Linked DNA regions of Coturnix japonica. The protein of the gene in region 3 binds, or shares a complex with, the protein of the main gene of each other region. Links are inferred from orthologs where the notes say so. Each region holds a gene or a part of one and is shown on either strand. Other genes may lie near its edges.

Evidence for each region. The genes of interacting proteins can lie anywhere in the genome.
Region 1: MYBL1 (region 3) and TFDP2 share a complex: the UniProt entries of both Homo sapiens proteins name them as parts of the DREAM complex. The link is inferred for Coturnix japonica from reciprocal best matches to the Homo sapiens genes MYBL1 and TFDP2.
Region 2: MYBL1 (region 3) and LIN52 share a complex: the UniProt entries of both Homo sapiens proteins name them as parts of the DREAM complex. The link is inferred for Coturnix japonica from reciprocal best matches to the Homo sapiens genes MYBL1 and LIN52.

What each region holds. Positions count from the first base shown.
Region 1 is NC_029524.1:8,785,437-8,790,295, forward strand, and holds the start of TFDP2 (transcription factor Dp-2), read right to left. Parts: upstream 3,118-4,859; 5' UTR 2,943-3,117; intron 1-2,942. UniProt on the Homo sapiens protein: Can stimulate E2F-dependent transcription.
Region 2 is NC_029520.1:34,236,231-34,241,370, reverse strand, and holds the start of LIN52 (protein lin-52 homolog), read right to left. Parts: upstream 3,118-5,140; 5' UTR 3,026-3,117; coding exon 3,007-3,025; intron 2,920-3,006; coding exon 2,845-2,919; intron 2,750-2,844; coding exon 2,712-2,749; intron 2,191-2,711; coding exon 2,124-2,190; intron 1,626-2,123; coding exon 1,542-1,625; intron 261-1,541; coding exon of another isoform or gene 247-260; exon of another isoform or gene 1-246. Other genes in the region: ALDH6A1 (methylmalonate-semialdehyde dehydrogenase [acylating], mitochondrial), read left to right, coding at 3,320-3,370, 3,504-3,563, 4,407-4,481, 5,048-5,140.
Region 3 is NC_029517.1:104,292,613-104,297,010, forward strand, and holds part of MYBL1 (myb-related protein A), read right to left. Parts: intron 3,839-4,398; coding exon 3,733-3,838; intron 3,601-3,732; coding exon 3,529-3,600; intron 1,100-3,528; coding exon 1,007-1,099; intron 207-1,006; coding exon 1-206. UniProt on the Homo sapiens protein: Transcription factor that specifically recognizes the sequence 5'-YAAC[GT]G-3'.

The DNA.
Region 1 (4,859 bases), on a different chromosome or scaffold from region 3:
TGCTTCCAAGCATACAGAAGCATGTGCTGAGTTCTTCAAGCCCCACAACAGACATTCACACCATTGGTTTCCATGTCCTATGCACACTGGTTCTGTGCATTGCTCTCCTCTGAACACCTGTCAATTGTGAGCCTGTCTCATTGGCTCCAGTGGCTTTTTGGTTCTGTACACACAACCACCTCCACAAGCACATTTCCTGCACCAGGCCAGACAACTGCCAGCTTATTTTCCCTATTTTACAACCCGCTGTTGGTTCATTAGTAGTTGTGTCCTACGAATACAATTGGAAAAGTAAATGAGAAATTCTTACTCGTTACACCTCCAAGTATGTGCAGAAAAAGCACACAAAGAAAGAAACCTCAGCTTACTGAACCTGCCCGGTACGGGCTGCAGTTTCCCTCCCCTGACCCGGTCAGCTCATTTCAGAGATGAGCACCATGCTCTCCCCAACGCACAGCGAGTTTTGCTGACTTCAAATGACCAACATCACGTGTTCCTGAAGGGGATGGAAAGCTGGAACCACAGTTCCTACTTCTTGCTAAACCCAGTGGAAGGTGCTAAAATACAAAGCCTTATCTTCACTTGGTGGTTGCTCACAGGCAGCTCCAGATGTATAGGAGGCTCCTGCAATACTGTCCAATACACACAAGAACAGGAACAAACCAGGAGTCCTCCTGCAGCAGGAACAGCCCTGCTGTGCTGCTCAGCCTGCTCCTTCACATGGCAGAGCTGTGCTGAGCTGCTGCACACAAGGCACAGCCTCACCACTCTGTGAAGTGAGCCGACCCACTGGAACCCACTAGAGGAACAGCGGCCTTCCCATCAGTGCCGTATGATTTCAGCAACGCTAATTCTATCAACCTCACGCAGGTCAAACAGCTTCTTTTGGTTCTGTTAGCACAGTGATTTCTGTGCAAGCAGGAAGCGGTTACAAGAAGCCCCAACAGCTTGTCTGTAAAATGTGATCAGTCTAACACACAGCCATGAGGTAAACCTACCAATATCTAACAATTAACCACCTTTTCCTCTGTACAGAACTGAACCATTCTCAGAGCCATTACTCTTAGCTCTTCCAGAGGCACCAGGCTCACTGCACAACCATTTCCCAACAAGAATTTATGCTTTTTCTCCCTCTCCTCACCATTTATTTGATGTATGTTCATTTCTGCGACGTGAACTTAAGCTTCCACGTTTCTTTGAAGTGCTGCATCAGGTGCCCAGCAGGTTACTGCAAACACAGGCTCTCAAAATGCAGAATTTGGCTATGTACAAAAATGCCTCCATGCAATACAGAGCACCAGCAAAAACGTCCCGAGATGCTGTTCCACCTCTGTGCTCCAGCAGCAGCCACGGGTCTGCCCCGTGTGAGCACATCACTGCACTCATGGACAAGGTAAAAAGTGCTACAATCAGGAAAACAAGCCTTAATGCAGGCAAAGAAATGGCAAAGCTGTTACTCGTTTCTCTTCTAGTAGCATCAATTTATACAGTCTCTGCCTCTCTCTATGTATATGTTCTGGCTTTTTTTTAATACAAGATCACATCTAGTCGAGATGTGTGCAGTAGATGTGTACAGTACCACAAAAGCAGCTCTGGTTCTGACCTCATTTCTACTGCCTTACAGTACAACTGTGCAGCTGAAAGAAACCAACAGCGAGGAATATTAACAAAGACCCGTGAAAATAACCGAACCCATTTCCAAAATAAAAACACCGGTCGCGTAACCATCGCATCTGAATTTCCCACCCGCCGTGTTGAAGAGTGAGCAAGTCAGTGGGCGCCGCTCCGCACAGACGCGACCACCCGCTTTGTGTCCGCTCACAGCACGGCGGGGCAGGAGGCACAAGGAGCGGAGCAGCACGTGAGGGCGGCACGGAACGGAACGGAACGGCAAAGCACAGCAATGCACGACGCAGCAATGCACGGCACGGCACAGCAATGCACGACGCAGCAATGCACGGCACGGCACGGCACAGCACGGCACGGCACGGCACAGCACAGCAATACACAGCACAGTAATGCACGGCACAGCAATGCACGGCACAGCAATGCACGGCACGGCACAGCACAGCAATACACAGCACAGTAATGCACGGCACAGCAATGCACGGCACAGCAATGCACGGCACAGCAATGCACGGCACAGCAATGCACGGCACAGCAATGCACGGCACGGCACAGCACAGCAATACACAGCACAGTAATGCACGGCACAGCACGGCGCTCCGCAGCCCGTTGCCAGCCCCGCGCTGCGGTTTTCTCCCCCGTTCGGAGTTAGCTCCCTTACGAGCTGTTTTCTTCCCTTTGTCTGCACACCCGGATCCGATCCGCCGCACTCACCCCGCCATTCGCCTCCGCCTTGAAGCCCGTGCGGCCTACGGCGTGCAGGGCAGGCCCTGAGCCCTCAGCCCTCAGCCCTGATCCGGCGGGGCGCGGCGAGCGGCGCTTCCAACTTTTGTCGTGGCGGCCTCGGCGCGTCCCCGGGCACCGCGCGCACCACAACGACCCCCCACAACAACCCCCCCACTCCGCCCCGCCGCCATCGGCACCGCGGCCCGGCCGCTCACACCGGCCCGTCACCGAGAGGCCCCGCGGCACCCTGCGCCGTGTCACGTACCGGCGGAGCCCCAAACACAGCCGGGAGAGCGCGCGGCCAACGCAGGTGTCAGGTCAGCGGCCGCACCGGCACAGACACACACACACACACACACTCACACACCCCGCCTCACGCAGTCACACCCAGGCCGTGGTGCGGTGCAGGCCCTGTCCTTCTCGAGGCGCGTTTGAAGCGCAATCCCCGGCCCGAATGAAGGCGCTGCTGTCCCGGCGGGATCCCGACGCGTGTCTCTCAGGCCCGGGCGGGAGAAGGGAACGAACGCGGCAGCGCCACCGGACCCGGGCGGCGACGCTGAGGCGCCGAGACGCGCCGTCCGCTCACTTACCGGCCGCGGTTCCGCTCCACACGCCGCCGCCTGGCGAGGAGCCCCGCAGCTCGGCCCGGCAGGGACAGGCCGCGAGTCCCGCTCCGTGGCGCCGCGATCGCTGCGCGGCTGCTCCGGCCCGATCCCGCCGCGCTCTGCCCGGCTCCTTCTCCCCCGCACAAGCTTGGCGGCGTCTGCCGGCCGGCCGCTCCCATTGGCCGCCGCCTCGCGCGAGGTCGGGCGCCCTCGGCGCACCATTGGCCGCGCCTGGTGTGTGTACACACGCCGCCAGCCAATCCGAGGAGGCCGCTGCGAGAGGGGGCGGGGCGGAAGGGCGGGGCGCCTCTTCCCAGGCGGCGCCTCAGATGCGTGTGGAGCCGCGACACGGCGGGAACGGGACGGAGCGAGCGGGGCGGGGAGCGGAACGGAGTGCAGGGAAACACAGCACAGCTGGGTGTTACTGATGGACAGGGACGGCAGGGAACAGCCATCGGCACCAGAACAGGGTCCTGAGCTAAGGAGCGAGAGCCGGATGGTTATTGCCGTGGGACGGCTCACAGGCGGTTATTAATCACAGGCCCAGGAATGTGCTGACCGTGCGCTTTCTGTTCTTTATCATTCCCTACGAAACAGTCACACGTAACAAGACCTTTATCAATACCTGCAGTTACGTAAGAAGCTTAAACGAAAGCATTAATAAACCATATGCAAAATGGAGCATTCCCTCACATAGCTGCCAAGGCCCCAAGCAGCTCACAGTCAACACAGCAGGCCGTGCAACGCAGCAGGCCGTGCTGCGGGAAAGGAAGGCAGCAGAACAGAAGCCAGGCAGAGTGCCTGGTTTCCTGCAGTCCTCCTAAGTTCCATGTGCTAAACCCAGATCTGAACTCAAATACTGCCTCAATAAAAAGTCATGTGTGTCTTTAAAACTTCTTTCTAGTTCATTTGGTTATTTTTATGCAGTGCTTACAAAGTTATGTCAGATGCTGTGATTACAAGAAAAAGGCATTTAACCATTGTGGAAAGGAGATGGACGGTGACTGCTGTAGCTGGCATTGGCTTTCAGTGCCTGCAGAACGAGCTGCCTTTGTATGCACACACTGCTCAGCTTGGAGATGCTGAAATGGTCAGTTTGCAGTAAGCACCACTTGTGCATGGTTCTAAACCAACCTGTTACTCCTCAGAACTTAGACACAGCCCAAACTCAGTCTCAGAAGGAGATCCACACTGAACACTGCTGTAACAGGTTCCTTAGCTCTGCAGGGAGTCAGTGATTTCCTGCAGTAAGACCCACACTTCGGAAGCTCTGACGCTGCTCTCTGGTTGGTGGCTCAGCACAACACCGTGTTCCCCATCTGGTTGATACTTTCCAGATCATCTCCCCTTTTCCTTTTCATAACACGTTACTTTGCACTGTTTGCTCATTTCAATGCTTTGTGAGCCCACAACCCATGCTGTAATATCAACACACACCCATAACCCCCACAGCCCACATTTCTCCTGAAGAATGAGCTCAACTTGTCCGTCTCGCTGTAAAACCTCAAACTAAAATGTGGCCCAACCTCTGGGTTGACATACTCCGACCTGCAGTTTGTCTGAAGAGGAAGCGACATCTTTGCCTGTACCTCTGGGTCTGGAACGGTAAGAGAGAAAAAACACAACAAAAAGAACGTTTAAAAAACCTATCCTTATTTCATGCCCCACTGACTGGCAAGAAATGGTTCTTACCTTATTTTCACAAGGCTGCTGTTCAAATGGTGAGTCCCAGCTGCTCCCTGAGCCCGAGTACATGGCACTAGCTGAAGGATCTTGCTACATAGACCACAAAAGACTGAAGCAGCAATTTGTTATTTTCCCTTTGGAATTTCTTCCAACAGAAGCACATGTACGAACACTCTTGTCAAAAGCAGGTAAGAGAGAATTAATTTTTCATAAAAC
Region 2 (5,140 bases), on a different chromosome or scaffold from region 3:
ACAAACTGCACAAAATTAAAAGTATCAAGACCTCTATCAGAAGCTTCATGATGCCATCTAGAGGAGGGTGGTCAGCAAGGTTTCTTAATTCTGTTTTTGATAAGCAGTTTTGATTATCAACTATGTAAAATATAGAATACTGTGTTTCAATACAAAAAGATGTAATCAAATTATATACCACTGAAACAAAAGCACAAGCTCTTTAATATTAATGAGCAGATCTTTGGGATTTTTCTTCTTGTTCTCTTAATAACCTAGGTCTGCAAAGAGAAAAAGACAGTATTGGAAGAAACAGTGCTGAGAGCCCATGTCAAACTCAGCATTTAATTATATATGGAAGATTTCCTAACATACATGTATACGTCATGACACACAAAGCACTCAATGTGTTACAGAGATAGACTTTGGTGAAAATAAATTGCAAATACAGTGAGACGTTATATAAATCGAGAAAGCAAACCACCAGCCAATCTTATTATTTGATTAAGATTTCCATTGTTAAAGTATAACTTCTACTCCACTAAAAGCTTTATTCAATCCTTGTAGATGTTGGCACTGAAAGTAAATTTCTACCTATGGAGAGAGTGTTCAAACAGGCTTAATGATCTATTGATAAGAAATATGTATTCCAGGCTCACAATCACGAGACTTCAAAGTTCAACTGCTTTTTGTTACCCACTGAAATAAAGCTGAAAAAAATCTTTGAGCCTAAAAATTTTCAAAGCCTCATGTAAAGCTCAAGAGTTTGCTAAAACTGAAGTCTAAGACAGAGCAAAATAAAGCAGTAAAAGTTAAATGCATCAGTACACACAGATACTGTTTAAAGGAAGCACAATCCCTTTGGAATCTTCAAAGCCGGATCAGCACATTAACAACAAAATCCTATATGCAATGACAATAAAAAAAACGCATCTTCCCCCCATCCCCACCCCCACTCCCACCCCCACCCCCCTTCAAAAAAGGCACTGACATAAATTGGTTGTTGGTAAGCAGGATGAAGGTCAACTTTAGAATGCAGTGACAGCACCTCCTGCTATAGCTGACTATGGAAAATAAATAACTGCAGAAGCCCAAAGTTACAAGAGCACTAATGGCTAACAGAATCCTGCACACCAGTTACATTTTCACTCTGTAGGCAGTACACAAACGCACAGTCACAGAAGTGGTGGCACAGATACTCTGTGACAGAGTGTTAGCACCTAAGCGGTAAATGAAGCAAACTGAGTGATTTACCTAAGCCAAAGTTAAGTCAGAAATTGATGGGCCACTAGAAAACACTGGACCTTAGCATTCAAAACAGAAAACAAGACCTAAAATAAGAAATTCTTTTAAATGTGCTCTATTAGGCTCCACTGCATCCATGATAGACTTGCTTAGAGCAGCACTCTTTTTTTCTTCAGAAAATTCTCTATTGCACTGTCATAATTGTGTGACATTCCCCACTTCAGCAAACGTACTTTTCTGACTGTAAGTGCAACATAAACACACACTTCAGTGGCAAGATTCATAATACAGTCATCACATCTGTGCACAGAACTCACATTCATCCAGTCCCAGCTGATATGCCAAATTCTGCAGGCCACGAACCTTTTCCATCAGGTTGGCTGTAGTGAGGCTTCCCAGCTCTAAAAGGAAAAAGCGTGATTTTTAACACTGTAGCCCTCTAGTGGCAGCTTATGTTTATCGCTTCACAGAGCATTCAAGTTATACTTTGAACAGTATCGGTTTACAGTGTACAGCATATGTTCTTCAGCTCTCACAACTCATAATAACCAGCAAGACATTCTAACTGTTCCAAAGCAATCAAAAAAAATGAAGAAAAAATAAACAGCAGGGATTTACTGCTTCAAAAAGCAGTAACAAGGAGAACAACAGCATTTTTGTTATCAGTATATATTCTTGTGGGACCAACTAAAGATAGAGGCAATTGACAAGACAAAGACTCCTAAGCAGAATCATTCAACTGGAGATGTTCTGCAGGTTAAGATGGTCTGCAGATTAAGAGGAGCATCCCCCATCCCTTCCTTTCCACAAGGCTTCAGAAGGTCTCTGAGCTCATCTTTTTAGTAGGCACTGAATTCCCACCCGCAGACAGCCTCAGTGCCCATGGAGCCCATACTCACCCTTTAACATATCGATATCATCATTCTCCAGTTCAGCCATCCATTTGGGAGGCGAGCTTGTAATAGGCTGGTTTGGGGGGGAGGAAAAAGAAAAAGAACAAAAAGAAAGGAAGAAAAAAAAGCAAAACATTCTCAGAGAAGTACATTTTTAGCTGCATACAAAGCCTGATATAGCATTTACACACACAGAATTGTAGGGGTTGGAAGGGACCTCTAGAGATCATCGAGTCCAACCCCCCTGCCAAAGCAGGCTCCCTACACCATGTCACACAGGTAGGTGTCCAGGCGGGTCTTGAATATCTCCAAAGAAGGAGACTCCACCACCTCCCTGTGCAGCCTGTTCCAGTGCTCCGTCACCTATTTACAACCAGTTACACTGAAAGAATAAACGCGATGGCTCCAGGCACCCTACAGGGCTACTCTAATGCCTAGAAAGCTCTTCCTGGACGAGTTGGGTGTTACTGCAAGTCACAGCCAAAGCCAGCAGTAAGAGCAGCACCCCCAGGGCTTAGAGCAGCGCGTTCCTGCGCAGCTCGTCCCTCCCGCAGTGCCTGTATGACCCGCAGTGCCGTGGTGTTGGCATCTTACGCTTTTGAAGGAGGCGGCGAACTCGGCGACGCCGGGCACTGCAAGAGAGAACCGAACAGCGCCGGGTGAGCGCGGGGCCGGCCCGGCAGCCCCGCCATCACCCCAGCGACACGGGCCCGCCGCACTCACTCACACTGCTCAGGCCACAGGTCCGGAGAAGCCCGGTCGAGCTTCTCGAAGCTCAGCAGAGAGGCTTCCAGATCGGCACCTACAGCACAGGGAGTAGAACGGAGGTGAAGCGGCGCCCGCTCAGACCGTACCGCAGGGTGACGATGACCCCATTCGCGCGCCTTACCGTCACCGGGAGCCGCCATCTTGCCTGCGTCACGTGACCTAAACCCACAGCCCGCGGGAATCCACCCACGTGACAACAGAGCCCGAGCGCCTTAGTGCTCGTGGCCAATCGCTGCCCCGGATGGGGGGGCGGTGGCGGGAAAGGGGCGGGGCGACGCTCTCCCTGGCAGCGATTGGCTGGCGGCCGGCAAGGCCCCCTCGGGGGGGGCGTACAGCGGGCGGGGGGGGCGCTCGTCTGGCCAATGAGCGGGCGGGGGCGGGTCCCTGTGCTGGGGGCTCCGCTCGGGGTCCGAGCGCTGTGACCCTCGGCCGGGATGGCGGCGGTGGCTCGTGGCGCTTGGGGCGGGCGGCGCGTGGTGCTCAGGGTGAGGCGGCACACGGACACAGCGCTGCGGGAGGGGCCGCGGGTGGCACCTCGGGGGGCGGTGGGGAGGAGGTGGGGGGTGTGGAGGAGGAGGGGAGCACCGTGTAACCGGGCTGCTCTGTGTCCACATCCAGCTGCCGCGGACAGCCGGGGCTCCCTGGATCGCTTCGGCCGCCGTCTCCTCCTCCTCCGTGGTGAGTGGGGCCGGGCAGCTCTGTTTGCTGTTGGGCTGGAGGGGCCCGCGGCGGTGGCTCCGCCGGGCCGAGGAGCAGCTCGGATTTCCTGCTCTCCCTTCAGTTCTGAAGATGGTGTTATCCCGAGTGCAGCCCGCGGCACGGCTCGTCCCGCCGTAACGCCAGCCACATCAGCACTTGTCATGTCTTATTCTTATTTTAACCCACCGCCGCGTTCCTTCACAAGCCGAGGCCTCGCTTATCCATTACACTCTTCGCAGCCGTGACCTGTCCGGCTCAGCCCCATTTATTTTCCTGATTCGTCCTTTGATCCCTCTCCCACCATCACAGCAGCATTAGCATCCCTGCCCTCACCAGGTGAACTGCCCGGTGGATGAGGGAAAGGCTGTTGGCACAGTCTACCTAGACTTCAGCAAAGCCTTTGGCACTATATTCCAATCTCTTCACTTATATGGCCCCAGTTCTTCCTGCATGTTGCAGCACTAACTGCATCTTCTACCCCTGCTTTTTCTTCTCCATACTTACCTGAACTCCTTAACTAATGGGCAGAATTCTTACCAAGTGAATTATTAACTGGTTTCTTTTAAATATGTCTGTGAACTGCAGGGTTTTTATGACTTAGCAATTGTAGTGACTGAGTAGATTAAAATAGTTCTGAACATGATTCTATCAATGTGTATCTTCTGTAATAGTTTTTAGACGGGGTTTTGACAATTTTAGCCTAAATCAAGGGGAAAAAAATGATGGAGTACAGTGGGAAATAGCAAAAGCCTGCACATAACAGGGCACATTGTTATGTGTGCACTTTCAGGGAAAGATCACTCACTGTGCTGTCCTCCACAGCCAACAACTAAACTGTTCATCGATGGGAAGTTTGTCGAGTCCAAAACCACAGAATGGATTGATATCCACAATCCTGTAAGTGAAATGGCTTCTGCTCATATACCCACAATCGGTGTGCAAGAGGATGCTGTGATTTCCTTGAATCACTCGATGAAAGGGGGAAGTATGTGTGCTTCTGGAGAAAGCTTAGAGTTGGAGCTTAAGACTTTTCTTAACTATTTTTCACATAGAAAGGCTCTGTGAATGTGATGTCAAAATTTCAGCTGTCATCCTGCATATATGCAACCTGATATGGTTTGATGCCAGCTGAACATGAAGTCCTGATCAAACTGCAAATTATGTCAGACAAGCCTCTGAAATTCCCACTCGGGAAACAGTGCTTCATTTACAGTTTGCTGAGTGCCTGATCTGAGATGTGTAGACTGAAGATTTACAGAACTACAAAATGCATAGAATTCCAGCTATGGTCCAGGCCTCTCAGTGTGCACTAGGAGAGGAGTCTCTTTTCTGTTTTCCTTCTGAAAAGTATAGCTCCTTTTAGAATAGAAGTATGAGGTGTGTGATGTGTGAAGACTGCTTAATGGTTGGCAAGGACAGCTGGAATAAACTGAGTTTTGATACAGTTCTTTTCTTTCCATCAGGCCACAAATGAAGTGGTTGCTCGTGTACCAAAAGCTACCACTAGTGAAATGGAGGCAGCTGTAGCTTCTTGCAAAAAGGCTTTTTGGAACTGG
Region 3 (4,398 bases):
TTTGCTATTTCAGCCCATCGGTTTCCCAGACGCTTGTGAGCTTCATAGATTACTCTGTCCTCTTCTTCCGTCCACGAAGACTTTTTTACCTCAGGGTTGAGATGGTTATGCCATCTCTCTCTGCACTGCTTGCCTATTCTTCCTTTCAGGTGTTTTGCAATTAGAGACCAACGCTTTGGACCATACTTTTGAACTAATTCAATAACCTGGAACACAGATGGAAGTGTGTTATAACTTCAGATCCTAACTTTTCCTACCCCTCCACCCCCGAAAAGAAGTCCCATTTTAGAAAAGGATTGTAATAGTCAATTTGATAAGACATAAGGCCTAAGGAAGTAGACAGTTTAAAAAATAAAATAAAATCTTACTCCCCAACCCCTTCCTATAGTCTTTAGGTTGTGTTGTTTGGTTTTAAATTACCTTTGAAATTTTTCTTTAAAAGACTGATGAAAACTGTTAAGTGATGGGTTAGGCAGGTCATATTCAGAATTTGACAAATACTAGTTTTAAACAGTGGGAATAAGCAGTCAATTTAAAATACAGTATGTGAAAGCTGAAAGTGCATCTCCCTACGGGGAGTCTGGGTTTTGCAGGCGAGAAGCTGCAGTGTAGTAGATTAACAGAAGTGTGGAAAAGGAAACCAATGAGCTTTTATTAGCTTCTTTAATAGCAGAGCATGAAATAATTTCTCTCAGCCCCAGTCCCTTTAAGTTTGGTGGGTTTCAGAAACAGAAGTTGTAAATGAGACCTTTGATGCCATAAAGAGATCACTTCTGCACAGCAATCTGAACAAAACACTTTAGTATACCAGACACTCCATCTGATTAAGAGCAGCTTCATTTTTTTTTCCCTCACAAACAGTGTAGTGCAATGTAATTCTGTATGTCACACAATGTATGAGACATCACATGTGGGGTTGAAGCCTAAGAAAGAGGTAGTCACTCCTAGCAGCCATATGTTAGCTTTATTACAGTAAAGGAGTACAGTATCAATTAGTTTTCATTACCCTCTGATCTTCTTCTTTAGTCCAAGGACCCTTAATCAATTCTGGGTTTAGTACCTTCTGCCATCGATGCTGGCACTGAAAATCTGAACGATTCTGAAATAAAAGACCAATGCAGTTGGTACACTATTAAATTTAAGTTTTATTTTTAAAGTTCTCCCCTATTATTTCTTCCTTGCAAGAACACTTCTGGAAAAAAAAAAGAATAAAAAAGCAACTTTACACAAAATTCTAATCTGATTACAATGGTCTTATTTGATCATTGAGTTAACAACTTAATTGCCTCTAAGGAAGAACTTTGTTATTTCATCCTCATTACTCCCCACCTTTTCTGACCTTTAAGCAATTTACATGCTTTTGACATTAATGTTTCTTTCCACATATAGACTATTGATCAAAGAAATACTTTTTCTTTCAACAAAATATTTTCCTAAGCCTCAAATGTATGCATTCTCAGTTTTTCACTACAGCTCTAAGGAAAAGAGGTTTATATCAAGTTTAGCTAACACTAATTAAACAACATGGCTTTTTCTGATCAGGACAGATGGTGCTTTTCTGTAGCTTCACTAAAGATCTTTTGAAATATTGTTCCCGGTTATGAAAGAGAAGCTTTCACTTCACCTCCTACAAAGCACCTGGACGAGAAATTGGGATTACCAGGAGATTGGCCAGATCCCTACAAATATACAGATGAGACCTTGATCCAGTACAGCGAAGTAGCATGCCTTTCCTGATGTCAGGACACAGTAATTTGCTGTCTTCAGTGCAAGCTGCTGGATAGCAAGTACTGATTTCAAAGCATTACCATGCTAACAAAAAGTTAAACAAGAGGCAGTTTGCAAGACCACAAAAGGCACCATTATATCTAAAATTACCATCATAATTTCAAGTTAATCACAAATAGACATTGTGGGTTTAAAAGCGCGCTGGAATTAATTATTATAAACACATAATTAGCCAGCAAAGATGAGCTGTAAAATATAGACTTCCAGTAGATGCCAGTTGTTCCCATTTTCAGTGGGAGAAAAATTTTGAAGCTGGAGCCTTGTAATATTCTTACCTTCAGTTTCTGAAATCATGACATTTGGAGTAGAGAAGTAAGAGATAAAACAAGGTGAGATAAAACAAAGTCATTTCAGGTCATCCACTTTAGCCACAGTAAATTGAGGGAGAACAAACACAGGCTGCATTTTCTCCCCCTTGAGAGTCACCTTTCAGCGTTCTTTTTTTGGGCAGAATAGAAAGGAAGGTTTATTTGTGCCCAGACCAAAAATGAAACAGTTCTAAAAATACGCTGGTAATTCAGTTGGTCTTCCTAGCAAAAGAGCGTCAGTAACAAAGTGCTACTCGAGCCAATCCCTATTATTTGGCTTTGTAATTTGAATACAGCAACAGGTTGCCTGGAGAGGCTGTAGAGTCTCTATCCATGGAGATATTTAAGACCTGACTGGATACAGTCAATCAGGGCTGGCTGCCCAGGACTTGCCCCATATGACTGTGCTTGAGCAGGGGGCTCAGACCAGCCGATCCAGCCTCAATCATGGGCAGTCAGATCCTCTGTGTATGTTTCCCACGATAGCTGAGGAATCTTTTATCAACCTCACTTGCGCACAGCTGAACAACAGCTGCCTGTCTCAAGAAGCATTTGTCTTCAACCATATCATCCCACTCAGTATTACAGGAACCAGAAACAGAGTTTTAATTTTTAGATTTCTAACATCCAAATACTCTGTACCACTTGTTGGTAGTGATTTCAGCCTTCATAAATTCTAACCATGTTTTTATATTTTTCCACAACATTTAATCAGAACAGAAAGAACCATCGTTTGTTTTGTTGCAAGCTTTTTCTACCACTGCAGCTCATACAGCTGATGAGTCATTTAGCAATTGAATTGACAGCACCTTCACTCATTCCAGTTGTCTGCCAGAACAGAACATTAAAAAAATTATAATAGTAAACTTTCAAGAAATGTGCTAAGGTTCCATTAGTAGCAACCAAAGATATCACTGAGTGGAGAGATCTACATTTAATAGGGAAGCTGATGTCCCTGTAACAACAGCAATGAAAAATAAAAACAGAAACATACAAATACCATTTCTTAAAGTGCTAGGGAATCAATCCTGCTCCTTTGAAACAATCTTTCAGGTGCAATCCACTTTCCTACCCGCTTCACAAGCAAATAGTGAACTGTAGATGCAATCACCACAAGGGAAACAACCCATGTAAAATCAGAATACGTTCTATAACAAAAGCAAATACCAAGTGTGGATTCAAATGAAAAAATGCATATACTTTTTTAAATTGATGACTTAAAGTCATTTCAGTTCATCATTCAGGTCCACCTGAGCCCCAAGTTTCCTGAAGTCTGAGCAAGAATTCAAGCCCACATTACAAGCATCCTTTACATATACATAAACATATACAGTAGGCTTTCTGGTTTGTTTCATCTCAATTCCAAACTAAAACATAAGATCAAAGTAGAAAAAATCAGAAGGAACTTAAGTGAAACGAAATTTCAACTTACTTGTAGATGACTAGCGATGAAAGCCCAATCGTCCGTACCATTTTGTTCCACCAGCTTCTTTAGCTTCTCATCCTGTTAAGACAATCTCAGCCAATAAGTATTACAAGCTACCCCAATACTAAAGAAAAACACATTTCAATACTTGACCAACATAAAATAGTAAGGAAATGCATTAAAAAAAATAAAAATAAAAACAAAAATCACCTCATCACGTGTCCATTTCACCCTGTTACATATCTTCTTCAAGCTTCTTTGCTGTGAGACTTCATAGTCATGATCTGCGTATTGAAAGTCATCATCTTCTTCACTGCTGAGAACAAGAGGGTGAAGAAGTTGGAAACAGACAACTCTAATTTATTCTAACTACTTGTAGTTTTCTCCACGATCATTACATATCCTCACATGAAGCTCTCATTAACGTAAGACCTGCCTCTAGTAGCAACTTCATAATCACTATATCAAAGGAACAGACTTTGGTTGAATTTCCAGGCCGTATACCAGGATGCAGACATAAATCATGCCAAGAGAAGATGTAAGTTTAAAGCAAAAGCTGTTAAGATCATCTTTTTGTACCACATTTGTGAATCTTTATTTAAAAATAAAAAACAATAAGGAAAGGATCACTAGTCTGAAAAGATCTACTCATGTTCCACCTCCATAAACCCTACAACAAACACATGGATACTGAAGAATTCACTGTCAGCTTGAGTTTTTAAGTGGTCTCCTGCCTTCGGTATCTCCTCAGCGTTACAGATACAAATCACAGCTTGGAAGACAGAAACAGTGAAGCAAGAAATCAGTGCATTGTACGCACTGACCCACTGGGTAAGAGTCAGCGGGGCGGGAAACCAGGTAACGATTGCAGCTCCA